7 linked regions of the Callithrix jacchus genome follow. The protein of the gene in region 3 purifies or fractionates together with the protein of the main gene of each other region. This does not show direct contact. Links are inferred from orthologs where the notes say so. Each region holds a gene or a part of one and is shown on either strand. Other genes may lie near its edges.

Region 1 (4,061 bases), on a different chromosome or scaffold from region 3:
AATCTAATTTAAGGACAAATAAAGAAAAGCTCACCAATCAGTTGACAAAATAGCTTTTAAAAGTTAGGCCAATGGTAAAAGACTCATAAATACAAAAAGAATATGACAGAATCACCTTGGTTGGTTGTAGATTTCTTTTTCTTTCAAGCCAGTAGCTATTTGGTGAGTACCTTCTGTGTGCCTCAAGCAGGGGGCAAGCAGCCTCCAACACTTAGCAGCCAGAGCATGCATTTACTGAATGGAAAAACTGACAAGGCTCTAAGCTTTGGCCATGCTCAGGGAACAGACCATATTGGTCTGTTCCAGATTTTCTAGAAGACTATTACATCAATACATTGGTGGTGGAGGCGGCCTTGGCCTTTTCCTCAGATTTCTTTCTCAAATGTAAATCCTTATTGCCACCTGCTGGCAGCATCGGGCTCTGCTAGTGTCTTCCAACCACTGGCAAATTTAATAAAACCCTGTGTGCTAGTGCACACACTCGCCCTCTCTGTTTAAATAACCAAAATTTAAAAAGTCTACACTGTTGTGTAACTACGCAGTGTAACTCAGACTTTAGTCAGGTGTCTACAACAGCTCTGTGGACACCTGGCTTTCTTTTGTCTGATGCTATTTATCATGTAAATAAACTTGAATAGTTCAAAATTCTAAAACTAGTATCATTCATCTTTGTTAATGACCTCAATGCCAAAGATCAGGTGGTGCGGTTAGCCTCCCAACCTCATTTTGTCCAGAGTTTAATTTATCGGGAAGAATTAATGAAAGGAGAGAGTGGTGAGCCCTTCCTACTTTGTTCAGACCTCAATCCCAAGCTAGAGATGAGGCCACTATCATGAAGGTGGTTGCACAGCTTATTAGAAAAGCAGCAGGCTTATTTTCCTAACTGTCTTTGCTTTTGGCTAGTGTTAATTATAGTGCGTACTTCCTTGCCCAGGCTCGTCTCGAACCCCTTCCTCCTCAGCTCTCGAAAGTGTTAGGATTACAGGTGTGAGCCACTGTACCCAGCTCATACTTCCATGGCTAGAAGGAGGACTGGAAATGGTCTATGAATTGAACATCCACAGAGTATATGTATATAGGGCAGTGTGAGTGTATTCAAAAAAATTAGCTCAAGTTCATGAAAAGCAGAGTTCAGCAGACCACTCACACACTTCTATGATGTGCCAGAAATATTCAGTTCAACATTTGAGTATCTACTATGGGTTAGGCATGGGATAAGAAGCTTATCTTACAAATAGGAAACAGGTTTTATTTTCAAGGAGTACATATAATAGTATAGGGAATCACTCCAAATTTCACAAATCCCCCCTTTGAAAGGCACCATCTACTCATTTCTTTTTTTTTTTTTTTTGAGACGGAGTTTCGCTCTTGTTACCCAGGCTGGAGTGCAATGGCGCAATCTCGGCTCACCGCAACCTCCGCCCCCTGGGTTCAGGCAATTCTCCTGCCTCAGCCTCCTGAGTAGCTGGGATTACAGGCACGCGCCACCGTGCCCAGCTAACTTTTTGTAATTTTTAGTAGAGACGGGGTTTCACCATGTTGACCAGGATGGTCTCGATCTGTTGACCTCGTGATCCACCCGCCTCGGCCTCCCAAAGTGCTGGGATTACAGGCTTGAGCCACCTCGCCCGGCCTCCATAAGCATTTCTTATGCTTCTTAGCTAGAATTCTGGGCCCTACTCTGCCACAATCTTAGACACCTGATTTTCAAAATTCATTAAGTATCATTAACACTTCAAATCCCATCCACCATAGAAAAGAACTTCCAATGCTAAGGAAGATCAGTGCTTCTGATGTTAAGGGCTCCAGATAAATTCTGAAGTGAGGTCACGTCATGTATCAGACTACAAGTACACAAATGCTCATAACACAAAGGCTGGGGCCTACATCTGTCCAAGAGACTAAAAGTTTCCTCAACAACCAGGTGTCAATAAAACTTCATTTTACATCCTTTTAACTTCACTTGTAGCTCATCTGTCAAATTTTATCCCTTTCTTCTTTCCGTATGAAACATGTCATGCATTTCACAAGTTTATTATATGTATAGTTTAGATAAAAAGAATAAAATGAACACTATGTGCCCACCATGCAACTTAAGCAGCAGAACATTCCCAGGGCCTTGAAGCCCCACATGGCCCTGACCAGCTGTACCCCTCCCTCCATGCCACCTGGTAACTTATCACCATCTTACCCATTTTTAAGATCCATCCCTAAACTCATTTTCTTTTGCTCTACAGCTGCAAAGTACATGTGTAATGAAACTACAACATTCTCTGTTCTCCAAGCCTGATCAATCACCCTATGCTGACCAGGAATCAGAAGAGACAGAACACCAAGAGCAGGAGCTGTGTCACACTCATCCCTATACCCCAGCACCTAGCCCAGGCCCATTTCTTGGTGACTGCTTATTTCATTTACACCAAGATTCGCAAAACAAAAACATAAACACTGCAAAGGAATCAACAGGCATGCCCTGGAGAGAGGAACAAACGTTCCTTTCCTTCCTTACCTCTGCTTCTACCTGCTGCTGAGTTCGGTTGTGGTTCTCTTTGTACTGGTTGGCTCTCAGAACTTGCTGCTCGATGCCCAGCAGAACTGCTTCACAGCCGTCACACCTACAATAGAGAAAACCAGCCCTGAGCTGCAGAAAGGCCTGGGAAGTCTCTTCCAGCCTCTGACATCTTCCTCCCCAACAGCTCTCCCCAGAGTCTTACAGGGATCTCCTTTAATAATCCTTCTACCAACATCTCTTGCCCATTCCTTCCTTCCAAAAGACAAGCACTTCTAAATACCTACTGCAGGACATAAGGAGACAAATATGGTAGTCTAGGGCTAGTTTCTTAGAATACAGCTTTAATTTTCAACTCTGTATTTCATGGAAGATGGTTTTGTAGCACCTAAGATTAAAGAAAGTAGGATAGGCTGGCTGTGGTGGCTCACGTCTGCAACCCTAGCACTTTGCGGGGGAGGGGGAAAGGAGGGTGGATAACAAGGTCAGGAGTTCGAGACCAGCCTAGCCAACACAGTGAAACCCCGTTTCTACTAAAAATACAAAAATTAGCTGGGTGTGACGGCACACACCTATAGTCCCAGCTACTTGAAAGGCTAAGGCGGGAGAGTATCTTGAACCTAGGAAGTGAAGGTTGCAGTGAGCCGAGACCACACCACTGCACTCCAGCTTAGGTGACTCTGTCTCCAAAAAAAATAAAAATGAAAAAAGAAGGTAGGATAGATTTTACAGATGGCATTGAGTAATCCTTTTCTCAACAGAAAAAAAAAGATTTTCTAAAAGTATCCTATTTTGAAGATTCCTCCTTTTCTCAGAAGTTTAAGTTATTTCCTAATTGCCATACCCTTCCTCCTATTTTATTTTCCTCACTATTAACTTTTTTAAAAACAAAAAAGTTGAAAGAATACAATGAATATCCCCATACCTCCACTTAAGATCCAACAGCTGTGAACATTTTGCCATATGTGTGGTACCCCTCAGCAAATCAATTTTGTTTCCATCTACCACCAGTGCCTCAACATGAGTTGTAAGCATCTCTACCAGTAAACATACTGCGGTAACCCGTTAGTGTGGCACCTCTATGTCAAACATATTGGTGACTTAGAAACTGGAAAGCAAACTATGGACATGAAAAACTGTGTCAGTCATTTCAAAAACAGAACAGGACAGCCAACGTTGGCAGGTTCAGAAACCAGATTTTGTGTGCTAGACCATTTTGTGATGGGGTATTTCTAAGCTTATTTCTCCTTTATTCCCAGTTTCGGAACCTACTGAAAACTTCCACCTGTGTCAGATGTTGTACCGAGGTGGTGTTTGGGGCCACACCTGGGACAGAACTTGGGGTGAGGGGTGAGCAACACTTGTCCTGAGGTAGAGTAGCTTAAATGAGGGAGACTTGGGGCCATCAGACCCCAGGAAGTCAAAGTGGTGCTGCTCCTCTCTGGATATACTTCTCTCAGGGATGAGCAGAGATCCCATATCTCTCCCTAACCTGTGCACAAAGCTCACCAGCTCTGCTTCATGGCTTCCAACATGCCATGTGCCTGCCTGG
Region 2 (4,061 bases), about 150 Mb from region 3:
CCTGCTCCCACTCCCAGTGCCCTTCCCTGCCTGTACCCTTCTTGTCCCATGCATCCGTTCAAGGTACACTGCCCCCTGAATGCTTGTGGCCACCACCCCCACAGCCTGCTCGAAGGGCCCCATGGTACTCACCACAGGGCACTCCACTGACACCTCACCACCCCCTCGCCACCCCTCCGCTGCACACAGGACTCATCTCTCAGGTCCCAGCCTCCAGCCTGATTGCTTTAGACTTCGGCATAACAGCAGGAATCAGTTAGGCACAGGCCACACCCAGGCTTATGTCCACCAGGGAGACAGCTGGCCACATCTGTATCAGGGGGACGCACTGCCAACACCACCCCATCTGTGTCAGAGCAACTTACAGCCGAGACTGGATCCGAGTGAGCAGGCAAAGTCTTGAGGCACTTCCCTGTTTTCACATCCCATATCCTCACACTTTCATCAAACTGAACAAAAGGAAGAGATTCGAGTGACTTTTACAGGGAAGAGAGGGGACAAACCTCCCCGGAACCCAAGACCTCCCAGCCCCTCCTCCCCACAAGCAGCACAGAAGAGACGCAGGGCCTACCTGCCTTCTCCACGGTTGCTACAACCAAATTCAACAGCCCTCCCACATCGGTCACAACAGCCCCCAGGGAAGACACCAGGCCACACTTACGGATCCTGAGACAATAAGGTTGGACTGGGGATTGAAGTTACAGCAAAAGACATAATTACTGTGTCCCTTCAGGGTTTTTAGACACTTTCCCTAAAACAGAGTATTACTGGGATTATTCCAGTGGATCTTTCTGGAAACAACAGCACCAGATCACAGTCATCAATGCCTGACAGCTCAGAGCATGCCCGCCCACCCACCAGTGATTGGCTGATCCCCAAGTCCACTCAGTCTCTGCCCACCCACCCTGCCCCGATGCCCCGTGCCCCTGCAGCCAGTCTTCCCTAGAGAGGAGCACTGAGTGTTGCTTACCGAGCTCACGTCCCATATCTTCAGGGTTTTGTCATCTGAGGCGGAAACAAGAAGGTTAGAATCTGACGACCAGGCTACATCGGATATTCCCTTGGGGAGAAAAAACAGGGTCAGTAACTTGGACAGAGCAACTTGGACAATAAAAGGACAGAATAGGACCTGTGGGCAAAATCCCAAACATCCCCATTGCCCGCAGGAAATCCTCTTACTAGCGTTAACCTTACAAGACACACTGCAGGGGAGGAAAACAGCAGGCTTTCTGCAGCTCTGCCAGCCTCACAGACACTCATCTGGGGAAGTCAAGTGTATCTGGCGTTAAACAGAATATTTGGGAGGCTGAGGAGGGTGGATCATGAGGTCAAGAGATCGAGACCATCCTGGCCAACATGGTGAAACCCTGTCTCAACTAAAAATACAAAAATTGGCTGGGTGTGGTGGTGCACGCCTGTAGTCCCAGCCACTCAGGAGGCTGAAGCAGGAGAATCGCTTGAACGCAGAAGGTAGAGACTGCAGTGAGCTGAGATCATGCCGCCACTACACTCCAGCCTGGCAACAGAGCAAGACTCCATCTCAAAAAAAAAAGAGAGGAAAAAAGGGGGGAAAATTTAAACCTGAACCCACCGTTCTCAAAATGGCCCTGACCACTTGCTCACTGGAGCTACTGTTCAATAGTCAACTTCATCGCACAGGGCTGAAACTTACCAGCTTGTGACCAGATATGGTTTTCTCAAATTTCCCATCATATGCGCCCCAAATTTTAATGAGTTTGTCAGCAGCTGAAAGAAAACAAAAGGATCTGAGGCTAGGAGCAGGCCACAGTTGTCCTGTCATCCATAGTCCAAAGCCTGGGCTTTTCCCACATGATCCCCTGGTGATCAGCATGAACCCCACGGCTCAGAACCCATTCAGCGCACCCACGTGCCGGAGATGACCAGCCCCCTTCTCCTCCCTCCCCAGGCCCACAGGCAATTTCAACCAGCACTGAGGTCACAGTTCCAGGAGGAGACACATCACCCGCTGCAGCCTGGAGCAGGAGGTGAGGAAGCAAGCCACCCCCTCGATGGTTTCTGGTCTGCAGCTCAGACCGCCTCTTCCAGCAGCTAAGGGCCTCAGTGCTACGTACATGAACTCGCCAGCCACTCTCCATTCGGGCTGAATTTCACTGAGGACACCGCTTTGGTATGGCCAGCAAGTGTAAACTTGAGAGCATAGTTTGGCTTCACGGGTGTAGGCTGCGGGAAAGATCAGTTAGCACAAAGTCACCACCACTGTGCATTCCACTCGTGACCAGTTTGGATTCAGCTCAGATCTTTATAGCTCCGAAACCACATGACCAGTGCCTTCCATCAATTTCTTTGTGGCGTCACTTTTCAAATGGAACAGATCTAAATCTGAGCCCACTATTTCCCCCTAAGACCTCCAACAGCACCAGCCAAGCCAGAAACGTCTGAGGTCCCCTCAAGGCAGGACCCCACCTCAAACCCACCTCTGATCCTGCTACAGCACAGGAGGCCCCTCCAGCCCCGACCTTGGTCCAGTGCACCCCACCCCCACCTGCCCTGAAACAGAGGCCCTGCTCCCTTGGCTAAAGGTCTACAAGAGGGTATGCAGCTCTGCCTGCGCATCAGATCAAAGCCGGGGTGGGGGAAATTATGAAGAGATGTTTTCTGGGTCTTACAGAGACTCTTACAATCAGGACCAAGTATGTATTTTTGATAAGGCCTCCCTCCTCCAGGTGACAGATTTGGGATCCCTGAAACAGCAGGTCACAAGCATTTGTCAGGTATGTGGTCAGGAAATAGAAACTAGCAGTGACCTTTAACTGAGTAGGGAAGGCTAGACTTAGGAGCGTGAAAGGTTTCCAAGAATCTCTAAGCGTTATTTGCCCCCCAAAACACCCACATGGCTCCTGGGCATGCACCTTGCTCTGAGTGGCAGAAGACGAAGGGGTCGGCTGTGCTCTGGCGGCCTCAGTCTCAGGCTTCTTCTCCTCCGTTGCCATGGCTCTGACGCTGGTCACACAGGGGATGTGGATGGAGAGTCCCAGTGACAGAGGCAGTCTGCCGAGCAAGATGCAGAACAGGGGGCCAAGGCCAAGAAACAAACCATATTTTTAAAAATGGATTTTCAGGAAAAAGGATTTAAAGGAAAACATTTGACTACCAATTGAGCCCTGTAGCAAACAAACCATTCCAAATTGAGAACCCTATTAATTACCCAAAGTCCTTGCTAATACTTTCTAGCTGCTCTGCTGAGACACCTGCTCTCGTCACTTTTGTAATCATCAAAGACCCCACCCTTAAGGGTGCTTCCTATTTTGTTGTCCAGAAGTCTGTAGGAATGCAGCAGTTTGTGCAAACAAAATGCAATTTTCTTCAAAGAGCCCTGGACACGGCTGGGCGTGATGGTTCATGCCTATAATCCCAGCACTTTGGGAGGCTGAGGCAGGAGAATCACAAGGTCAGGAGCTTGAGACCAGCCTGGCCAATAAGGTGAAACCCCGACTCTAGTAAAAATACAAAAAAAAAAAATTAGCCAGATGTGGTGGCACGTGCCTGTAATCCCAGGAGGCTGAGATAGGAGAATTACTTGAACCGGGAGGTGGAGGTGCGGTGGGCTGAGATCGCGCCATTGCACTCCAGCCTGGGCAATAAGAGTGAACTGTCTCAAAAAAAAAAAATAAAATAAAGCCCTGTACATATTATAAAAAGAACAGCAAAAGGTTTCCTGACAGTAAGCTAACATGCCAAATGACAGAAGATGGCTTCAGGGTGCAGAAGTTTGGGAGCACAGCCAAATCCTAAAATGCACCCACTGATGCAATCACATTCACAGCCAAGCTTGAAGGCACCCAGCGGTCTGCGCCTCAAGGGTGGGCTCCGGTGCCTCCATGCACAGGCTGCAGGCACCAAGCTGCCTTCCAGAATGCTAACAGCTCACAGGCCTCGCCCCCAGTGAGGAGCTACAAAACTCAGCAAAGAGAGCAGAGCGAGCCAGAGCCAGCTCTGCCTGCTGGAATTCCCACAACCTGCCTTCTGGAAAAGCAGCCTCAAGTACACCAGGGATATTCTACGAGCAAGACCAACATGCA
Region 3 (4,061 bases):
GCAGCTCTCCTATAATACTGGAATTATTAATACTTGTAAGTATTAGTAAAATGAATAGCTTTATAACTTTAATCTACCTTTTTTCCTGGGGGACTATTGTATTCAAATCACACTCAGATTATTTATCTAAAGTGTTTTTATTCTGTATATCCCCATGTTTTTTTGAACCCCATATTGGTTCAAAACTTGCTAGTAGAAAAACCACATTTCTGTTTATAGTATTTCATATTTGAATTGAATGAGATTAAGGTTTTGTACATGAGATTTGAAAGGAAATTTTATTAGAACTGGTGAGAATGTGCAAGTACTGTTTCTTTGAGGTGAGTAGAAATATTGTAAGAAAAATTTTTCTGCCTCAAAAAATGGTTTCGGCTGGGCACAGTGGCTCACACCTATAATCAACACTTTGGGAGGTTAAGGAGGGCGGATCACCTGAGGTCAAGAGTTGGAGACCAGGCCAGCCAACAGGGTGAAACCCTATCTCTACTAAAAACACAAAAATTAGTGGGGCGTGGTGGTACATGCCTGTAATCCCAGCTACTCAAGAGGCTGAGGCAGGAGAATTGCTTGAATCTGGGAGGCAGAGGTTGCAGTGAATGGAGATTGTGCCATTGCTCTCCAGCCTGGGTGACAGAGCAAGACTCCATCTCAAAAAAGAAAAAAAATGGTTTCTTCTTGTATTGGGGATATTCACAGAAAAAAAAATGTTTCTTAATTAAGACAAAACTGAAGTGAATTACACATCTATCTAGCCTGCAGAAAAGTAAATAGGAAACAATACAGTCTGGCCCGAGTCATCCAGAACAAAGCTCAGTGTGGACGGAATGACTGCCCTGGGGAGGTGAAGGGAACTGGGGCCCCATCTTGTTATTCTCCTTCCTGGTGAGAAGATGGTCGCTGAGGGAAGAGATATTCTTGGTTCTCTAGCCCTGATTTCACTTTGTAATCATCAAGGTGAACTTAAACACATACATGCTCCGGTGACCCCACCTCAGGCTCAGGAATCAGAGCACCCAGAAACAGGCATGTGAGGATCAAACCTGTTCGGAAGTTTCCATATGCTCAGAAGTGGTGCAGGCCAACTAGCCGCCTGGGGCCTGAGGTGCCATGTGCCACATTAACTGTTGTTACCCCCATGCCAGCTCTGACCAGACTTAGCCATAATAAATAATGTATTTGTAGATTCTGTAAGTACTGGGGCGGGTGGCGTGCCTTTTTGTTATGATTACAGCTATGTAAACAGTCGGGTTTTTTAAAGAACCAATCTGTTCATACTGAGGAATTTATGTGCTCCTTTTGTTTGCAGGCTGTGGAAAATCTTTGTTCGCACAAAGTCTCCCCCATGCTCTACAAGCAGCTGCGTCAGGCCTGTGAAGACCACGTCCAGGCACAGATCCTTCCGTTTAGAGAATATCCTTTTTTTGGTTCATAAAGTTTCTGTTCATTATCTAAGTCTTTTAAAACTGAACATTACGATAAATAACTAATGTGTATCCTTAAGATTATAACAAAAGCTTTAAAGTGCTCTTTTATTTCATGACTCAGTATGGTAAGTTTTTAAGCAAAATTTGCCATTTAAAGTATTTTGTTGATCTGAATTAAAGGGAAACCACGTCTACTTATTGGATATGATTGAAGTATTTAGGAAAAGTTCTGAAAAATGTCTTAAAGTTTGAGTATCCTTTATTCTAATAAATACCATCTGCATTAGCCTTCTGTGACATGTCACAAATTCCCACTACTTGGTGACATGTGGAGACAGCCTCTTATCAGCTCATGGTTGTGTCTCTTAGAAGGCTGGGCAGGACTCAGTGGATTCTGTGCTCAGTCTCATGGGCAGAGTCAAGGTGTCAACCAGGCTGGGGCCTCACCCGAGGTGAGGTCCTTCGCTAGCACGGGCAGGCAGTTGGCAGAAGCCAGTTCCTGTGGCTGTGGGACTGAGGGCCCTGCTTTCCTTCCTGTGTTACGTGTGGTCACGTGCAGCTCCTTGCCTCTATTCTCACAGCACAACTCTTTTGCTTCTAGTCCTGCAGGAGAATCTGCCACTCTGGCCTGCTTAGATAGGGCCTTATATGATGTAAACTGTAACTGAGTCAATGAATGATGACCCTGTGTATCCACAGCCTCATTCACAGTTGCATGCGAGGCATCATCCATGTAGGGACAGGGCAGGGGCATCTCGGGATTCTGCTGCCGCACCAGCTGTGACTCAGTTGTCTACAGAGGGGTCTCTGGGCTCCTTGGCATCCTATAGAAAATCCTTTAATCTGGACTCAGTCTCATTTCCCAGCCTCCTCCCATTACTATAGCTATCCATGTGTTTCATTGGGTAGGAATTAGAAAGTAGAGTTTATAGTTGCAGAAAGTCTACTTGTGATTGGAGTTGTCTAGGCTTCCGTTTCTTTATATGTAAAATTAGGTAGTTGGTATTTGCTTCTAGTTCAAGGAAACTTCTGCTCCCCCATCTCCTTGATCTTGGGAAACTAAACCATCTGAGTTCCTTGGAAGGACCCTTGGGGAAGCTGCAGCAGCTGGTGTTGCTGGGGTTGAAGCACATGGCAGGGAAGCTGAAATGCAAGGTGAGAGGGCTCTGTTTAGGCAGTCTCCACAGCGCTCCCCACAGATGGTGAGTGAAGTCAGCGTCAGTTCTTTTGTGCTGGCTTCTGTAAATACACCTCTGCAGTGTTTTCCAGCAAAGCCTTTTCCTAAAGATCACGAGTTTGTTCAAGAGATCAGTGACCACACACAACCTTCTGGAACCTGGCCAAAGTGCATCTTATCTCAGGAGGCACCTGTGAGGGTGCACAGAAGCAGGCCCCGCCCCAGGGCCACAGCTCAGCAGTGCGCTTCCAGGAACCCATGTTTCGTATGTTTCGATCCAAAAAGTGGCCTGACTCCTAGGCTTGGGGGAAGTCTTTAGCAGATGCCCAAGCCTTCTCCAAAGACTTAGGCATTGGTGAGTCAGTAGGTGATAATTGTTCCTATTCTAGTTGCTGTCTCAATTTACTTGAAAACTGCCATTTGATTACCTGAACAAATTATCCTTCTGCCAGTTACTGCTACCCTGTGGGTTGTCATCAGTTCACTCACTGCACAAGCGCTTGCTTTCTGCCTATGGCACTGGCACCACAAAATGGAAGTGACCACCATGCCTGATATCTACCCTCCAAGAAGTTACAGGCCTCTGGGAGAGGCAGGAGAATTAACTATGTTTTCCTGGTGCAATGGCAAAACCATGATTACAAAAATTATTTATTTCATTAAAGGCAAAAGAAGAAAACACCACCATACCAAATGGCCTTATTAGTCATGAGACATCTTGAGTTGAGAACTGTTGAGTCAGGCCAGCAGTGGTGGCGTGTGAGGCAGCTGGGGCAGAGCCTCCAGGAGAAGACGCCCTTGAAGGGTGGGGAGGGTCCGCCCACCTGTAGATGTGGCACCGATGCAGAGCGTGGAGGGTGCCTTGGAAATCCTCAGCAGCACAACTAGCACTCCAGAGAGCTGGCGGCCCTTTGGCTGTGATGCTGAGGTGCAGATTGGATTAGAATCTTTGTGGATAGTGTCAAGGAGTTGGGCTCCAGTCTCAATATCCCAGCATTCTCACAGGTTTTGAAGCAAGAAACCAGAATTAGATTGTTCATGGAGGTCACTCTGGCAGAATGATAAGATAAGTTTACATAGAGACCAGTACACCACAGCCTTTCATTGGGTAGGCACATGTTTTTAAGTATCGGTCATGTGCTGAGTATAATACCAGGCCCTGGGAAAATAAATTTGAGTAGAATGGGATTCTGGCCCTTTGGAGCTTAGAGCCAAATGGGATGGCAGAAGCATCAAGATAAGCATTGACAAGTGCTGTGATAAGGGTTTTCAAAGGTTCAGAAAAGCTCCTGGGCCCTGAAGAAAGAGTAGCCAGCTCACCTGCGTAAGGGAGTGTTGCAGGGATGGACGACGTCTGAGCCACGTCCTAAAGGGTGGATGAGGAGGTGGCACAGGCCAGTGGCACAATCGCTGGCTCTGAGGAAGCATACTGGGCACAAGAGCCAGGTGCACTGCTGGAC
Region 4 (4,061 bases), on a different chromosome or scaffold from region 3:
GGATTGTTTTGTACCACCAGTCCTGAGCAAGCATGTATGCCCAGAGACAACTGTCTTTCTAACCTTCAAGTGGTGGCTTTTTAAATTTTTTTTTTTAAAGACGGGGTTTCACCATGTTGGTCAAGCTGGTCTTGAACTCCTGACCTGAAGTGATCCGCCCACCTTGGCCTCCAAAGTGCTTGGATTACAGGCGTGAGCCACCACGCCCAGCCCAAGTGGTGGCTCTTTCTCCACCTAATCGTCAGTGGACAGTCTCCAATATGGCCCTGCTCGCTAATCATACTCAAATACTTTTGTATTGGGGGCCACAGTGGCTCCGGCCAGTTGTCCTGGCACTTGAGGAGGCGAGGCCATGAGTTCAAGGCCAACCTGAGCAACACAACAAAGCTCTCATTGATTAACAACAACAACAAAAAAATACTTTTGTATTGGTTGATTCTGAGTGACCCCCACCCAGGCCCCAATCCTAGGAACCTCTGGCCATCCCATCCATGATTTAGCAAATAAAGCGTTAATGCCTGGCAAAGAGGGCTGACAGGGAGGGCTCCAGGGTTCCCAGGCTACAGACAAACCCACTGTGCCTGTACTTCCAGTCTCACCTTTTTTGGGCACTTGCTGCCAGCGATAGTCCCAGTTTTGCTGTGTGGCAGCCTGGCGTGAGGCTTCCATGCCTTCCCGCGTGGAAAAGCGTCGGATATCCCAGAGCTTGATGGTCTGGTCTTTGGAGTTGGAGATGAGATACCGGGCATCACCCTATGAATCCAAATGTGGATAGTGAAGCATCAGAGCTTACAAATGTCAGCGCCTGTCAGTCTAGTTCTCATTCTCTAGTTGAGCAGAACTCCAGCCTTTGGCTTTGCTTGCCTCTTTCTTTATCCAGGTGAACTCATTTTCATTGTTCTGCCTCAGATCTTACCACCTGGCTGGGTTTTCCTTTCCGTGTCCAGGTTACTGGCTGGCTTTCCTATTCTATCCTGGATCAGACTGTCTTCCATTTTCCTTTTTAAAAAATATTTAATAAAAAAAAAAATAGAGACAAAGGCTCATTAGGTTTCCCAGGCTGTTCTCAAACTCTTGAGCTCAAGCGATCTTCCCACCTTTGCCTCCCAAAGTGATAGGATTACCGGTATGAGCCACCTACCTGGCTGGTCTTCCATTTTTATTGTACAGAAAGCCCCACCCTACTCCTTGAGGACTGGTGAGTCCAGATGGAATTCATGTTCCCTAGATTGAGCCCCTTCCCTGAACTCCAACCCTTATAAACCTTGGCTAATAAGGAACTGTCGCCAGGCACGGTGGTTCAAGCCTGTAATCCCAGCACTTTGGGAGGCCAAGGCAGGTAGATCACGAGGTCAAGAAATTGAGACCATCCTGGTCAACAAGGTGAAACCCCGTCTCTACTAAAAATACAAAAAAATTAGCTGGGCATGGTGGCGGGTGCCTGTAATCCCAGCTACTCAGGAGGCCGAGGCAGGAGAATTGCCTGAACCCAGGAGGCGGAGGTTGCAGTGAGCCGAGATCGTGCCATTACACTCCAGCCTGGGTAACAAGAGCGAAACTCCGTCTCAAAAAAAAAAAATAAGCAACTGTCAAATTCCCACACCAGTCCATTTTCATGCCCTCCTGAGCAACCAGAACCTTAGTAGCCTGGCTGTGCAGTCCTGTTTCCTGGCCCACCTTGCTGTCAATGAAGGTGATGCCATCCTGGTGTCCAGCGAGTGCACCCACAGGCTTGGGGTCATCCTCTCGCATGGTGCGTCGATCCCACACTTTGCAGATGGCATCATCACCCCCAGAGAACAGGATTTGTGAGCTTATATCAGCAAAGGCCACTGCATTCACATCATCCTCATGGGACTCAATCTAGGTGAAAAGGAGGCCAGAATATAAGATCTCTTTCTAGGTCTTATAATAAGCGAAAGACCAGGAAGCAGAGGCTCTGTCTCAGGAGCCATACCTGAAGGGTGCGCTGGTTCTGCTCTCGGTCAAAGACATACAGGCAGCCATCATTGGCCCTGAAAGGGAAGCAATAAAGGAGGGTTCTGGAGCAACAATCTTGAGGATCAATGTGGTATGTACTCTAGAGAGTCCCACTGAGAAATCCTGCTCTGGGTCATGGGGGAAGAGTTAGCTGTGTTTTTAAGGAGGCTCTTGTGCAGGGGAAATGGAGAGCAAGAGGTGAACCAACTTGTAAATCCTGACCTTGGAGAAAATCTGGTTCTTCTCTGCAGCTGCCGGTGCCATCTGTGTACAGCAGAGCTCATCTCTGGGGAAACCCCCATCTTGTTAATTAAGGGAAACATATCCCACAAACACTCACCCTCCTAGTACTTCTCGTCCATCTGAGGAGACAGCAATGGAGAAGACAGCAAAGCGACGCTCATCTGGCCTGAAAGCAAGAAGTAACTGGATTAAGTGGACATCCCTTCAGCTTTTGCTAATCTACATAGAATCTGACAATGGTTGTAAGACATATACCCAGGGGAAAAAAGAAGTCCGGTTAACATGCACCACCATGCAGATCCTCAGTGAGAACCCAGAAATAATCCTGCAACCAACCATTTACCCAATCCTCTGGCTGACAGGATGCTGCTTCCCTCCCAGGAATCCACACAGACCCACCAGCATACATTTCCCCCTAAGCAGAACTTCCAACTCAAAGGTTTGCTCCTGAAGATCTTCCCTTGAGAAGTTTCTGATGAGTCTGACCAGAAAGGGAAGCCAGTACCTGAGATCCAGCGCAGTGTGTGTATCTCCCTCACCATAGATATTGCAGATATGAACTAAAAGAGCAAGAAAAACAAGAATCTTTCAGGCATGGGGGAAGGAGAGTGGATGTGAAGCTAGGGAAGAGATCAAACAAAGGACAAGGATGTTGGAGCACTTTGGGAGTGATCTTCCCTGTATAAAGTGAGGAATCCTGGTTCAGAGGGGATGAGCACCTCAGGTCCCAGGGTGGAGAGACAGTGGAGGCCTGGTACATACTCACTGTAATCAGACCAGCTGGAATAGAGGAAGTGGTTCCCATCAGGGGTAAAGGCCACATCCAAGATGCTCCAGCCTACATCGCGGGCCTTGATGCTCTTGAATTTATGGAAACGGCCATACTGGCAGTCATACAGTCGGATTGTCTGGTCTGTAAAAGTAGAGATCAGGCAGAATTGTGGAACACTTTCCTTATAACTTTCCTAGATTAGAGGTCTGCCACTCAGTATACCTATGGAATCTTCGCTTAATAATGGGAAACATGCTCTGGGTATGCATCCCTAAGCCAGGTCTGAGCTCCCTGTCTGTGGCTTTCTAGCCTCAGTCAGAGGGTACATTCCATGTTCCAGGAAAAGACAGTTGACAGGACGAGGGTCTGGTACCTTGGCAAGCAGACATGAATATTTGACCATCTTTGCTGTAGATGCCACAGAAAGCCTTCTGAGAGTAGCTATCAGTGAAGCCCAGATCATTGGGCAAGAAGCTAGGGAAGGAGAGAGAAAGTAAGGATAAGGGGTGCTCAGGATAAGGAGTATCCCAATTTGCAGAATCCTAACAGAGCTAGAATATCAGTACAAAATCATTCTCTTTTGGTTGTGAGTGCAATCCCCTGTCTTTCAACCATTCCACCATCCTTTAAATTTCTTTTTTTTTCTGAGACGGAGTTTCGCTCGTTACCCAGGCTGGAGTGCAATGGCGTGATCTCGGCTCACCGCAACCTCCGCCTCCTGGGTTCAGGCAATTCTCCTGCCTCAGCCTCCCAAGTAGCTGGGACTACAGGCATGCACCACCATGCCAAGCTAATTTTTGTATTTTTAGTAGAGACGGGGTTTCACCTTGCTGACCAGGATGGTCTCGATCTCTTGACCTCGTGATCCACCCACCTCGGCCTCCCAAAGTGCTGGGATTATAGGCGTGAGCCACCGCGCCCGGCATCCTTTACATTTCTATACTTTTCCAGTTTGTTTACTCTCAAAGTTTCAACCCCATTTAACCTAAACTTTAATATCTTCAAGGCTCTTTTAACACCAACCCCTTCAAACTTTAGGAGATAAGACTTATCTGGCCCTTAGAGT
Region 5 (3,267 bases), on a different chromosome or scaffold from region 3:
CAGGGAGTCCATAGCAACACTTTAGGCCAAGGATCCCAATCCTCCCTGCACAATTCCCGGAGAGCTCTAGTGGACAGAGGGCAGGAGTCCAATGGCTTCTGCTTGCCACAGATCTGACAGTTCTTCTGTGTGGTTCTGATGTGAAAATTCAAGTTCATTATCAACTCTTTCCCTTCTAATTCTATGAGGTAGAAGGATATAGGTTCAAGCTCCTGGAGAGCAGAAACAGTGGCCATCGTTTCCACGTCCAGTGCCTGTCAGGTATTTATGCCCAGAAAGTATCCATTACTACTGTTTTTTTTTTTTTTTTTGAGATGGAGTCTCACTCTGTCACTCAGGCTGGAGTGCATGATCTCAGCTCACTGCAACCTCCACCTCCAGGTTCAAGTGATTCTCCTGCCTCAGCCTCCCTAGTAGCTGGGATTACAGGTATGCACTACTATGCCCAGCAAATTTTTTTGTATTTTTAGTAGAGACGGGGTTTCACCATGTTGGCCAAGCTGATCTCAAACTCCTGACCTCAAGTGATCTACCCGTCTTGGCCTCCAAAAGTGTTGGGATTACAGGCGTGAGCCACTGTGCCTGGCCATAGTCATTACTTCTGACTATGGATGCTGAGATATGAAGCAACGTGTCCGAAGTCATACAGCCCAGGATCTAGGCCTCAGGCAGAGACGCAGCAAATAGTATCCAGTTCTCTTCATCTTCCAGCACTGTGCTTTAGAGTAAACTGGGAATGAGTCTTCTTCCCATCCGCAAATATCAAAGACAGAAGATACCCAGTTCAGGGTAGTTTGTAGATAGACTTTTCATAGATTTATTTCTGTGTCATGTTATATATAGATATATGCATATATACCTTTTTTTTTTTTAAATACAATCTATATACCCTTCCCTTCCCCACCAAACTCACAAAAGGAGATTAAACCCTTCCAGGACTGCCATCAAGCTTCCCGAGATGGCCAGGGCCAAGAAGGAACCATCTCTCAACATGTTAAGAAATAGCTGCCATTCTTAGGCTCTGGGTTCTGAAGCCGCAGCATTCCCAGGACCCAAAGGGCAGAGAGAGAAAAATAAATGACTGTAGCGTGACAGGATTTTCGGATGAACGTGTCCAGTGACTCTGGGAATGCCACACTGGGCCCCAGAATTCTCAGAATGCGAGTAAAGGTGGGGGCCCTATGGCTCTTCAGAGGCTGCTCAATGCAGGGGTGGTGGGTAAGGTGTAGGAATTTGCGATCAGGCATGCAGGGATGGGGTGGGAGAAAAAAAACGCCTGTGGGTTATGCTTGAGACAGAGCAAACCCCATCAAGGTTACCCACCTACTCGATGACATGTCATGAACAGGGACAGATGTTGAGCTCTTAAGGAAATGTCGGAGAAATAGGGGAGAGAGCATGGCAGCAGGAAGCAACGGAACACAGGAGGTCACAAAAACAAAAAGTACCAACAAAAACATGACCTGCACTTGCCTCCTCCCTAGAAGAAGGTGTGATCTATGTTTGGGGTTGGGGAGGTGATGGGTCATGAACCTAGGATTATCAGCTGGCCAGGGGCACAGGAAGGCTCTCTGAGGACTCCTAAGAGGCAGACAGGCAGCTGGGACCCCACATCCCCAGGGAGGAAACGACAGTCCCTTCAATTCGACTTGGACCAAATCTTGGCGCTCCCTCGGAGCCTGGCAAGAAGAGAAAGAGAGAGAGAATGCAGGGAATCCCCTCTGAAGGCTCCCCCGACTCCCTACTCCCATGCAAATAACTGAAGGAAGTGAAGACAGTCAGGTCCCTGGGGTAAAAGCAGGGCACTCCAGAAGTGAGCAGTACCTGCTACCCTGGCTCACCCCTTGCCCTTTGAGGCTTTCTTGCTGGGCTGGCGCTGGTTGGTGCCAGGAGCTGGTTCCCTCAGCTCAGTCAGATGTTGCTCAGGGTCCTGAGATGTGGCTGCGGCTGCTGCTGCTGTTGTAACTTTAATGGTTTTTTTAAGGTTGGCAACCTACCAGGATGAAAGGAATGGGGATAGCAAGGAAGGTTCCAGAAACTTCCAGACCCTGCTTATTTTGTTGTCTGCTACAACCACTGTCCAAATCCTCTCTGCAAAGGAGAAGTGGCCCAGGCTGGAGGAGCCTGGGTCCACCTGCTCCCTGACTGCTCACCTCACTCTCAATCTGCTGCTTCAGGCCCAGCTGCTGCTCCTTGTGCTGGTTGGCACGGCTCACCTGCTCCTCAATGCCTGACAGCACAACCTCACAGCCCACACACCTGCGGGAGTCAGGGGAGAAGAAAAGTTTCAGCAGACAAGATCTACGATCATAGACTCACAGAAAACAGATTCAAAAAGAACCCTAGATGCAGGGCGCAGTGGCTCACCCCCGTAATCCCAGCATTTTGGAAGGCCGAGACGGGCAGACTGCTTAAACTCAGGAGTTCAAGACCAGCCTGAGCAATATGGCAAAACTCCATCTCTACAAAAAAAATACAAAAACTAGCCAGATGCAGTGGCACAAGCCTGTAGTCCCAAGCTACTCAAGAGGCTGAGGTGGAAGGATGGCTTGAGTCCAGGAGGTGGAGGCTGCAGTGAGTCAAGATCATGCTGCTGCACTCCAACCTGGGCAACGGAGCCAGAACACAGCTTCTGGCATTTTGAGTCTGAGTTGGGAACCCTCACCAGGGCACCTAGAAACCATCTGTGACAATGATCCTAGCAGTGAGATGGACCCTCAGTATGGTCAGAGAGGGATAAGGAAGTGCCTGGAGTGATGTGCAAGATGGTGGTAGGAACTGAAAACAAATAGGGTAGGAGATGTTAAAGAGAAAAAGAGGTGACTTAATGAATACAGAAACCCTGAAGTTAGATAGACACAAAATAAAAGAGAGGAGGAAAAGGCCCATGGCCTGTGGACAATGGTAATTGTAGACCAACTGCTGGAATCTAGCCTAAGGCAACAACCTTAGTGGTTAGGATCCCCTCAAGTGTACCACTCACTCCCTTTCCATCCCTGAATTACTATATCAAGGACACTGACTTCTGCCGCCTCCCAGGACCTCCCTACTCCTGCATTCCCCAGAAGCCTTTGAACTCATTTTCCTTCATCCCCCTCAGTTCTACCTCTGCAGACCAGCCCAGCTCTTGCCCTCTCTCACCCTGAAGCACCTTTCACTTTCTCAGAGTGAGAAGGAAGGGGACAGCACCAGGATATGGTTCTCACCACTCCTGCAGGGTTCGGGCAATGGCACTGAGGTCCTGGCGCTGGATGTCCCGCCCAATGC
Region 6 (4,061 bases), on a different chromosome or scaffold from region 3:
CTGTTAAGACTCTCAAACTACAGTAACATCTAGGTCAGAGCTCTGATTTAGAAACCAATCTTATACCACAGACTCTCCTCCCATCCAAGCATCAAGGGGCCCCAAGTGATTAGGCACAGGAAAACCACTTAGAAGAAAAACATCGCGGCCAAGTGTGGTGGCTCATGCTTGTAATCCCAGCACTTTGGGAGGCCGAAATGGATTGATCACCTGAGGTCAGGAGTTCGAGATCAGTGTGGCCAACATGGTGAAACCCTGTCTCTACTAAACATATAAAAAGTATCCGGGTGTGGTGATGGGAACCTGTAATCCCAGCTACTCAACAGGCTAATGCTGGGGAATCACTTGCACCCAGGAGGCAGGCTGCAGTGAGCCAAGACTGCGCCACTGCACTCCAGCCTGGGTGACAGAGTGAGACCCTGTCTTAAAGAAAAAAAAAAAAAAAAAGCATATTCATTTAAAAAGCAGTAAGTATGGGGTGTTTCCCAGATGTATTCTTTTGAAGTCCCTCCCTGTTTAATAATTAAAATATAAACCGGAGTCCAAAATTCATGTGAAAGAAAGAATCCAATGTGGTACTATGATGCACTGTGTCTGTGTGTGCCTGAGTTATTTCTAGGCCTCAGTTTCCTTATTTGTAAAATGAGGATGCTCAATGAGATCAGTGGCTCCCAGAATGTCAGACTGGCTACAATGAATCACTTGAAGGACACATGAAATAAGTCCTGATTCCCTTTTCGGATCCACTGAACCAAATTCTTTGGGTATTTTTAACAGGTTCTTCATATGATGATATAAAGATAGGCTGGAAACGATGTGATTAAATGATGTTTAAGTTCCCATCTTGTGCTATACTAAAACCATTTACTCAACTTTTTATATATTGTCTGTAATCTCAAAACAGCCGTTTTTTTGTTTTTTTGTTTTGCTGCCTCCCTGTTGGTAGAGATACTCATAACAGCCTTGAAAGATGTGCATGTTACTGTCCCTGTTCTAAAGATTAAAAAACAGGCTCAGAAAAGGAACTGCCCAACCTCACACAATTGACAGCTGAGCCAAGAATCAAATCTACATGGTCCACTTTATTCCAAGTAACAATTTATTCTATGGTCCTATTATTGTTCTGTAGGGTAATTAAAACACATATTAAATGTTTTATTTTAAATGGGGGAAAAATTTCAAGTGTCTGTTATTGGAAATGACTGCTAAAATTAAGTGTGCAGAGGAAGGTAGAGTACAAGTGGAGAGGCAAAATAAGGTTCACATTACGTCACCTCAGAAACTGCAACACAGACAGACAATACCCACCTTAACTGTGCCATCGTCACTGCCAGTGCAGACAAGTTGAGGGCCTCTCCTGGCTGGATAACAGGAATTCACAAAGGAAGTATGTCCCTTTAGCCTTTTAACCCTCTCACCTGTTTCGCTATCCCACACAGCCACAGTTTTATCTGTGGAAGCTGAGAAGAGCATACTAGAAAGTAAGAGGAAAAACAAAAAAGAAATAAGTGAAGACAAACTATCTTTTGTACTTGCCAAAAGATGCCAAACTCTTCAAGATCACTGACCTGTTGTGCTATGCGAGTTTGCCCCATGAGGCTGGAATGCCTCACCCCACCAAAATCCTATTTGTGCTCTAGGCCCAGACATAAGATCTACCCCTATGAAGTTTTAAAACTTCCCCTTCTTTGCGTCCCCATGACATACATCTAACATAGCAGTTTGTTCTTTTCTCTTTTGTGATAGGTTTTGTTCTATCTTTTTCTCTTTTGTGATCGGTAACGATTTACAAATAAGACACCCTCTCACTTGGAAATGCTTAATCACTCCCTGGTGCTGCAGAGCTAAGACAGACTATGCCAACTCTGGACCTGACAACTGAGTAACTCCAATCCTTTCTCTTTATCAAACTTTTTCTTTTGTCTCTGAGGACAATTTCTTTCTTACAGTTTTTTTTCAGATGAGATCTTGTTTTGTCGCTCAGGCTGGAATCATGGCTCACTGAAGCCTTGATCTCCTGGGCTCAAGTGATCCTCCCACCTCAGGCTGTGGTCCCTCTTGAGTAGCTAGGACCACAGGCCTGTGCCACCATGCCCAGCTACTTTTAAAAAATCATTTGTAGGGGCAAGGTCTCACTATGTTGTCCAGGCTAGTCTTCAACTTCTGGGATTAAGCAATCTTCCTGTCTCAGTCTCCCAAAGTGCTAGGGTTACAGGCATGAGCAACTGCACCCAGCCTCTGAGGATGATTTCTAAGTAATAACTGACCTTATAATGCTTTCTTTTTTCATTTTTTTGAGCTGGAGTCTCACTGTGTTGCCCAGAATGGTTTTGAACTCTTGGGCTCCAGGAATCCTCCTGCTTCAGCCTCCCAAATAGCTGGGATTATAAATGAATGCCACTGTGCCGAGCTTTCTAATGCTTTCTTTATTTAAAATGTATACAATGCTATGTGCCAACTGATGGCGCACCCATCAATTGGGTTTTAGAGGTCAGAAATGTAAAATAAGTTGGGCGTGGTGGCTCGCGCCTGTAATCCTAGCACTTTGGGAGGCCGAGGCAGGCAGATCACCTGAGGTCGGGATTTCGAGACCAGCCTGACCAACATGGAGAAACCCCATCTCTACTAAAAATACAAATTAGCCAGGCATGGTGGCGTGTGCCTGTAATCAGCTACTTGGGAGGCTGAGGTAGGAGAATCGCTTGAACCTGAGAGGCAGAGGTTGTGGTGAGCTGAGATTGTGCCACTGCATTCCAGCCTGGGCAACAGGAGTGAACCCCATCTCAAAAAAAAAAAAAAAAAAAAAAAAGTAAAACAATGAATGTTTACCAGGATATCTAACAACTGAATTAATTTTGTATAGCTTGGTTTCTTTGCTATCTATAATATATTCTAAAATAATATAGTCATTAAAATGTTTATGACATCAGATGTTGGCTGAGCAATGTTAAAGAGAAAAAGGCAGAAACAAGACTGTATACATAGTTCTAATAAATATGTAAAAACTAAACAGTTCTGAGTAGAAAAAAGGCATTAGAAAAAAGTATAAAATTAACAGTGATTATCTTTGGAGTAACAGAAACATGGACTATTTTTTCATCTTTCTGCTTTTTTGGGTTACTCAAAAGAAATGATTTTTATAATAAAAATAATTTCAGGCCACACTTGGTGGTTAATGCCTGTAATCACAGCTTTATTCGGAGGCTGAGGCAGGCGGACTGCTTGAGCTCAGGAGCAATATAGCGAGACTATGTCCCTACAAATGATTTTTAAAAATTAGCTGGGCATGGAGGTGTGGGCTTGCAGTCCCAGCTATTTAGAAGGCTGAGGTGGGAGGATCCCTTGAGTCCAGGAGGTTGAGGCTGCAGTGAGTCACGTTCATGTCACTGCACTCCAGCCTACATATAAAAATCACATTTTGGCCGGGCACGATGGCTCACGCATCCTAGCATTTTGGGAGGCCGAGGTGGGTGGATCACCTGAGGTCAGAAGTTCAAGACCAGCCTGGCCATCACGGTGAAACCCCATCTTAAAAAAAAAAAAATTACATTTTATGTCTTAAAAAAAAAAAACACAAGTTTGTCTGGGTTGTAGAAATGACAGATATGATCTCTTTATATTTGCATACACAGACAATAAACACCTCACTTGGGATGACAGTGATGAATCGAATAATAAAAGTAGCTACCCAAAATTAGTAGATTTTGATAGCAAGATTTCCTGAGAATAAAGGTGAAAGGACACCAAGAAGAATTAGTACGAGAAGCAGCTGTCATTCCATTATGCAGAATACTCACCTGCCATCTGTGTTGTAATGCAGTTCCATCACTGCTCCACTGTGTCCCTTCAGTGTGGCATAATTATCACAGTCACCATAGACATTCCATAACACTGTTAGGGAGACAGGGGTTTTATGAGCATTACTAGGCAAAGGATACTTACGAATTTATCAGAACAACAGTTCTCAGGCCCAGCGCAGTGGCTCATGGCTGTAATCCCAGCACTCTGTGAGGCCGAGATGGGTGGACCACTTGAGGTCAGGAGCTTGAGATCAGGCTGAC
Region 7 (4,523 bases), on a different chromosome or scaffold from region 3:
CTGGGTTCAGGCAATTCTCCTGCCTCAGCCTCCTGAGTAGCTGGGATTACAGGCATGTGCTACCATGCCCAGCTAATTTTTTTTTTGTATTTTTAGTAGAGATGGGGTTTTTTTTTTGCGGGGGGGGAGGAAGGCAGGAAGGAAGGGAAGAAGGACGGTAGGGAGGAAGGAAGGGATGAAGGAAGGAAGGAAGGGAGGAAGCGGGGAGGGAGGGAGGGAGGGAAGGGAAGGGAGATGGGGTTTCACCATGTTGACCAGGATGGTCTCGATCTCTTGACCTCGTGATCCACCCACCTCGGCCTCCCAAAGTGCTGGGATTACAGGCTTGAGCCACCATGACCGGCAAGAGAAAGCATCTATCCATTGTGACTTAGTAGAAATGAAGTAGGCAACATTGTTATTTTTAATAAGGAAAAGATGATTAAAATATTAAATAGTAAGTTAATTAAAGACATAGTAGCTGGCTCCATTTATTCCTCATTCTTACAAGTGATTGAAAAAATATTTTAATAATACAAATGAAAATATCTACCTGGAAATGTGACACTGAAATTAAACACAATGAAGTGAATGGAATATAGTATTCTACTTTGTTGAATTAGAAATTGCAGTTAATTATTAAACAGCATCCAAGAGTGTTACCAAATCCTGTCACTTCTGCCAAAAGAGGATGATTGGAAAATGAAGGCATCAAAAGTCATATTACATGAGGAATTATTAATTCAATAAATACTTGAGGTACTATGTAGTAGGCAGTCCCTGTTCTCTGTGCTGGGGATACAGCTGTGTGCAAAATAGACTGAAAGAAAAAAAACGTTTTCTGTCTTCTTAGAGATTATATTCTATGGGAGGAGTCAAGCAAAAATCAAAATAAGTAAAATAGTGTGTTGGTCAGGACTGTTACAGAAAAAAAATGAGGAAAGGGGAAAGGAGTTTTACATGAGTAGATTTCTTCTGTGTTGTCTTGAATTGGCGTGGGTCAGGAATAGGAGTTTTAGACTTACTCGATTTTGCTCCCAACCAATTGTATGTTCTTGGGTAAGTTGCTCACCATCTCTTTATTTTCACATTTATAAAATTAATAGATCATAGCAATAGCTATTTTTTGTTACTGCTGTCATTTAGTAGACACGCTGCATACATCATCTAATTTACTCATAACAATCTTATGAAGTAAACAACGTCCCCATTTGACACACGAGCAAACAGATTAGATTAGGCAACTCTTTTTGAGGACATTCTCCTCTATTCGGTACTGGTTCTCACTGTGTTGGTCCTGAGTTAGGTCATATGGGTCAGGGTGGTCAGACGTCTTGCAGAGTTTCCTGCAATCCTGTCAGATAGCTTGAGAACTCGGGGATCTTTGAAGGTTGGTTGCACACATTTACCGTGCCTATCGCTGGGTAAGACGACCTGGCAGTAGAGGGCGAAGGATGGAGGAGAAGGCGGCAGAAGGCAGGGCACAGAGACTACTACTCCCAGAATTCCACGGGCTCCTTCCCGCGGAAAGTGTCGGTCATATGGGCGGGGACGCTGGACGACATTCGGGCCGCGGCGGCCGCTGGGTGCAGCCGGGCGGTGTGGAGTGGAAAGAGCACTCGAACGGCTCCCCTGATACTAACAGTTCTACGATTTAAAACCCCGCCAGAATTTGTAAGTAAACAAAATGACTGTACAACTTTTCTATGTTTTAGTATTGGAACTGATATACTGAATTTTTCAAAAGAGCTTTCAGAAACGGTCCCTCCCCACCCCCACCTCCCTACTGCCCAAACGATATTTTTATTTTTATTGTTTTTGAGACCGGTACTTGCCCTGTCACCCAGGCTAGAATACGGTGTCGCGATCATAGCTCACTGCAGCCCCGTTCTCCTGGGCTCAAGCGATCCTCCCGCCTCAGCCTCCCGAATAGCTGGGACTACAGGCCCGCAACACCATGCCCCGCTAATTACTTTATTTTTTATTTTTGTAGAGACAAGATCTCACTATATTGCCCAGGCTGGTCTCGAATGCCTGGCTTCAAGTGATTCTCCCGCCTCGGCCTCCCAAAGTGGTGAGATTACAGGCTTGAGCCACCACACCTGGCCTCACTTGAACAGTAAACGAGGTAGGTTGGGGTTATATTTTCGTTTCGGGATAAAAAGAAACAGAATCTTATAAATATTAAACGGGTTAAGATGTGAGTAAATTTTTAGCTTTAAACTTTAAGGTGAGAAGCAGAATTATTGTAGGGTTCGAAATGTAAGTGGGAAATTTTCCTACTAGTGTAGGCGGCGATTACTCCATGCCCGGCAGGCCTAGGATCTCAGCATTCATCAACTTAATCCTGAAAAGATAGTAATTAAAAAAAACATGGTGCTAAAAAGGACAAACTTGTAGTTTTATTAAGACCTCCTACCATTTTGCTTATATATTATGTATGTACCATACTCTCAGTTGTATTTCATACCGGATAAAAAAGTTTGCACCTTTTCCTTCTTTTAACAAAGTTCTTAGTACTCTCTACTTCATGAGTAATGCGTGATTATCAGACTTGATACTGTTACACAGATCCAGAAATGAAGTTACACAGATTAAACATATTGGTTTTGTTTTACCTGTCTTTAGTTTTTAAAACATTTTATTTTGGATCTGTTTGAAAGATCCTTTCTTTGTTTTAAGCTGTGGCAGCTATCCATGTTTTTTGAGTTTTATTTTTTCAGCACAAGATGAGTATAAAGGGGCCAGTGGAAACATTTAATAAAAAAAAAAAAAAGAACTCGAAGTAGAGTAACTATAGATGTTCTTGGAAGCCTTTGTGTGGATTAGAACAGTTTGAAAAACCAACATTTGCTGTGAGAACTGAGTGCCTCTCTTCAGTAATGTTTATTATGCTGAACGTGCAGTCCACAACTTGATTACCTGTTTTTCTGCAGGTTTATTACGTAACCTTGGGTGACTCATTTAAGCACTATTTTATCTAGTTTCTTTCTAATGTAGAGGTAATGTTAGCTTGAGAACTTCAATAATTAACAAAGAATTTAACTTCAGAATTTAGCCAATTATTTGAGGATTATTGGGTATTTTAATAATGCGTTGTATCTTGTATATAACTTATTTTTGCCTAAGAAGTCATTTCTGTATTCCATTCATTTCCATGAACTCAGAAGTCAAAACTGTATTCCAGGAAAATCCACACTTCTTTGAAGTGCTACTTGAATTTCCTGAAGGAAAGTTTGCTTCAAGAAGCCTTGTCTACTTTCTCACTTTGAGGTTGTTCACTAAGCCAACTATGAAGGCACATTAACCTGGAGGTTCTACAACCTCCAAAAAAAAATGGAAAGAATGAAGAATTGGCTGTTTTTATTTACCATTTAGAATTTTAATTGTGTTAAAGTTTCATTAATATTTCTGCATCATATGAACCACTGGATTAAACTGTGTCCCACAAGAAGGAATTTAGTAGGTGATCATACATTATCATAAATTTTGCACAGAAATCAAGCATTTGGGAATAAGAAAGGGCATCCCTAACATCAATAATGAGCATAGACTTTAGAGTCATAGCTGGATTTGAATTCCTGTTTTGTCACTGTGTGGGCTGTTTTCCTCTTTACTAATATTTAAAGGAGTTGGCACATGATTTTTTTGTGTGTGTGCCATGGCTCAGGTATGATCTGTGCACATAATTTTGGTAATTGAAATTTCTGGGAAGAAAATTTATCTGTAATTCTACTACCTCAACAAATCATATTGTTTTGGTTTTTAGAGATTTTTCCTTCAGCCCTTGACCATGAGTATATATCATGTAAATAAATGTAATGACATTTTTGCAAAAAGTCAAATTTTAAAACATTGGTTTCTTCTGGGGTTTTGTTTTAATTACACAAATGAAGCTGCCTGGTTTTGCCTTTAATAGTTCAAATAAGCCAGGTGTTATGTATGGCTCATTCCTGTAATCCCAGCACTTTGGGAGGCTGAGGTTGGTGGATCACTTGAGGTCAGAATTTGAGATCAGCCTGGCCAACATGGTGAAACTCCATCTCTACTAAAAATACAAAAAAGTTAGTTGGGTGTGGTGGTGGGGGCCTGTACTCCCAGCTTCTCGGCAGGCTTGAGGCACAAGAATCATTTGAACCTGGGAGGTGGAGGTTGCAGTGAGCTAAGATAGCACCATTGCACTCCAGTCTGTGCAACAGAGGGAGACCTTCTCAAAAACAAAAGAAAAAACAAAGAAAACCAAGGGCAGAGAAGGGGAGAGAGAGAAAAAAAAAACAACACCAAGTCAGAAGCTGGAGCAGTCATTTAGGCCTAGGCAGTCTGACCTTCGAGGACAGTTCTATGCGGGGTTCTATGTTGGTAGATTTACTTTATGGATGTTAGGTCCTATTTATAGGCAGGACTTGATCCTGGAGGCTTACTTATAAGTTCTTTGTAGAAAAGTAACATTATTTACAGTTTTTGTCTGTTTGTTTTTTGAGACAGGATCTCTCTCTTACCCAGGCTGGAGTGCAGTGGCACAATCACAGCTCACTGTAGCCTTG

Evidence for each region.
Region 1: the proteins of CUL4A (region 3) and COPS7B purify together in Homo sapiens (affinity purification with mass spectrometry; 8 studies listed by BioGRID and IntAct, counting the BioPlex papers as one, with this or other methods). This does not show direct contact. The link is inferred for Callithrix jacchus from reciprocal best matches to the Homo sapiens genes CUL4A and COPS7B.
Region 2: the proteins of CUL4A (region 3) and WDR5 purify together in Homo sapiens (affinity purification with western blotting; 4 studies listed by BioGRID and IntAct, with this or other methods). This does not show direct contact. The link is inferred for Callithrix jacchus from reciprocal best matches to the Homo sapiens genes CUL4A and WDR5.
Region 4: the proteins of CUL4A (region 3) and DCAF11 purify together in Homo sapiens (affinity purification with mass spectrometry; 13 studies listed by BioGRID and IntAct, counting the BioPlex papers as one, with this or other methods). This does not show direct contact. The link is inferred for Callithrix jacchus from reciprocal best matches to the Homo sapiens genes CUL4A and DCAF11.
Region 5: the proteins of CUL4A (region 3) and COPS7A purify together in Homo sapiens (affinity purification with mass spectrometry; 8 studies listed by BioGRID and IntAct, with this or other methods). This does not show direct contact. The link is inferred for Callithrix jacchus from reciprocal best matches to the Homo sapiens genes CUL4A and COPS7A.
Region 6: the proteins of CUL4A (region 3) and SNRNP40 purify together in Homo sapiens (affinity purification with western blotting; 3 studies listed by BioGRID, with this or other methods). This does not show direct contact. The link is inferred for Callithrix jacchus from reciprocal best matches to the Homo sapiens genes CUL4A and SNRNP40.
Region 7: the proteins of CUL4A (region 3) and torsin-1A-interacting protein 2 purify together in Homo sapiens (affinity purification with mass spectrometry; 4 studies listed by BioGRID, with this or other methods). This does not show direct contact. The link is inferred for Callithrix jacchus from reciprocal best matches to the Homo sapiens genes CUL4A and TOR1AIP2.

The regions. Positions count from the first base shown.
Region 1 is NC_133507.1:153,252,438-153,256,498, reverse strand, and holds part of COPS7B (COP9 signalosome complex subunit 7b), read right to left. Parts: intron 2,616-4,061; coding exon 2,510-2,615; intron 1-2,509. UniProt on the Homo sapiens protein: Component of the COP9 signalosome complex (CSN), a complex involved in various cellular and developmental processes.
Region 2 is NC_133502.1:182,706,694-182,710,754, reverse strand, and holds part of WDR5 (WD repeat-containing protein 5), read right to left. Parts: intron 3,031-4,061; 5' UTR 2,973-3,030; coding exon 2,892-2,972; intron 2,203-2,891; coding exon 2,094-2,202; intron 1,747-2,093; coding exon 1,673-1,746; intron 1,061-1,672; coding exon 971-1,060; intron 752-970; coding exon 662-751; intron 450-661; coding exon 366-449; intron 1-365.
Region 3 is NC_133502.1:28,674,346-28,678,406, forward strand, and holds part of CUL4A (cullin-4A), read left to right. Parts: intron 1-1,306; coding exon 1,307-1,410; intron 1,411-4,061. UniProt on the Homo sapiens protein: Core component of multiple cullin-RING-based E3 ubiquitin-protein ligase complexes which mediate the ubiquitination of target proteins. As a scaffold protein may contribute to catalysis through positioning of the substrate and the ubiquitin-conjugating enzyme.
Region 4 is NC_133509.1:58,425,881-58,429,941, reverse strand, and holds part of DCAF11 (DDB1- and CUL4-associated factor 11), read right to left. Parts: intron 3,470-4,061; coding exon 3,369-3,469; intron 3,137-3,368; coding exon 2,990-3,136; intron 2,784-2,989; coding exon 2,729-2,783; intron 2,390-2,728; coding exon 2,321-2,389; intron 2,016-2,320; coding exon 1,958-2,015; intron 1,864-1,957; coding exon 1,678-1,863; intron 754-1,677; coding exon 600-753; intron 1-599. UniProt on the Homo sapiens protein: May function as a substrate receptor for CUL4-DDB1 E3 ubiquitin-protein ligase complex.
Region 5 is NC_133510.1:20,922,332-20,925,598, reverse strand, and holds the end of COPS7A (COP9 signalosome complex subunit 7a), read right to left. Parts: coding exon 3,207-3,267; intron 2,260-3,206; coding exon 2,154-2,259; intron 1,994-2,153; coding exon 1,842-1,993; coding exon of another isoform or gene 1,838-1,841; exon of another isoform or gene 1,825-1,837; intron 1,680-1,824; coding exon 1,640-1,679; 3' UTR 794-1,639; downstream 1-793.
Region 6 is NC_133508.1:67,923,308-67,927,368, forward strand, and holds part of SNRNP40 (U5 small nuclear ribonucleoprotein 40 kDa protein), read right to left. Parts: intron 3,892-4,061; coding exon 3,798-3,891; intron 1,475-3,797; coding exon 1,309-1,474; intron 1-1,308. UniProt on the Homo sapiens protein: Required for pre-mRNA splicing as component of the activated spliceosome. Component of the U5 small nuclear ribonucleoprotein (snRNP) complex and the U4/U6-U5 tri-snRNP complex, building blocks of the spliceosome.
Region 7 is NC_133519.1:23,492,666-23,497,188, forward strand, and holds the start of torsin-1A-interacting protein 2, read left to right. Parts: upstream 1-1,542; 5' UTR 1,543-1,653; intron 1,654-1,972; 5' UTR 1,973-2,107; intron 2,108-4,523. UniProt on the Homo sapiens protein: Required for endoplasmic reticulum integrity. Regulates the distribution of TOR1A between the endoplasmic reticulum and the nuclear envelope as well as induces TOR1A, TOR1B and TOR3A ATPase activity.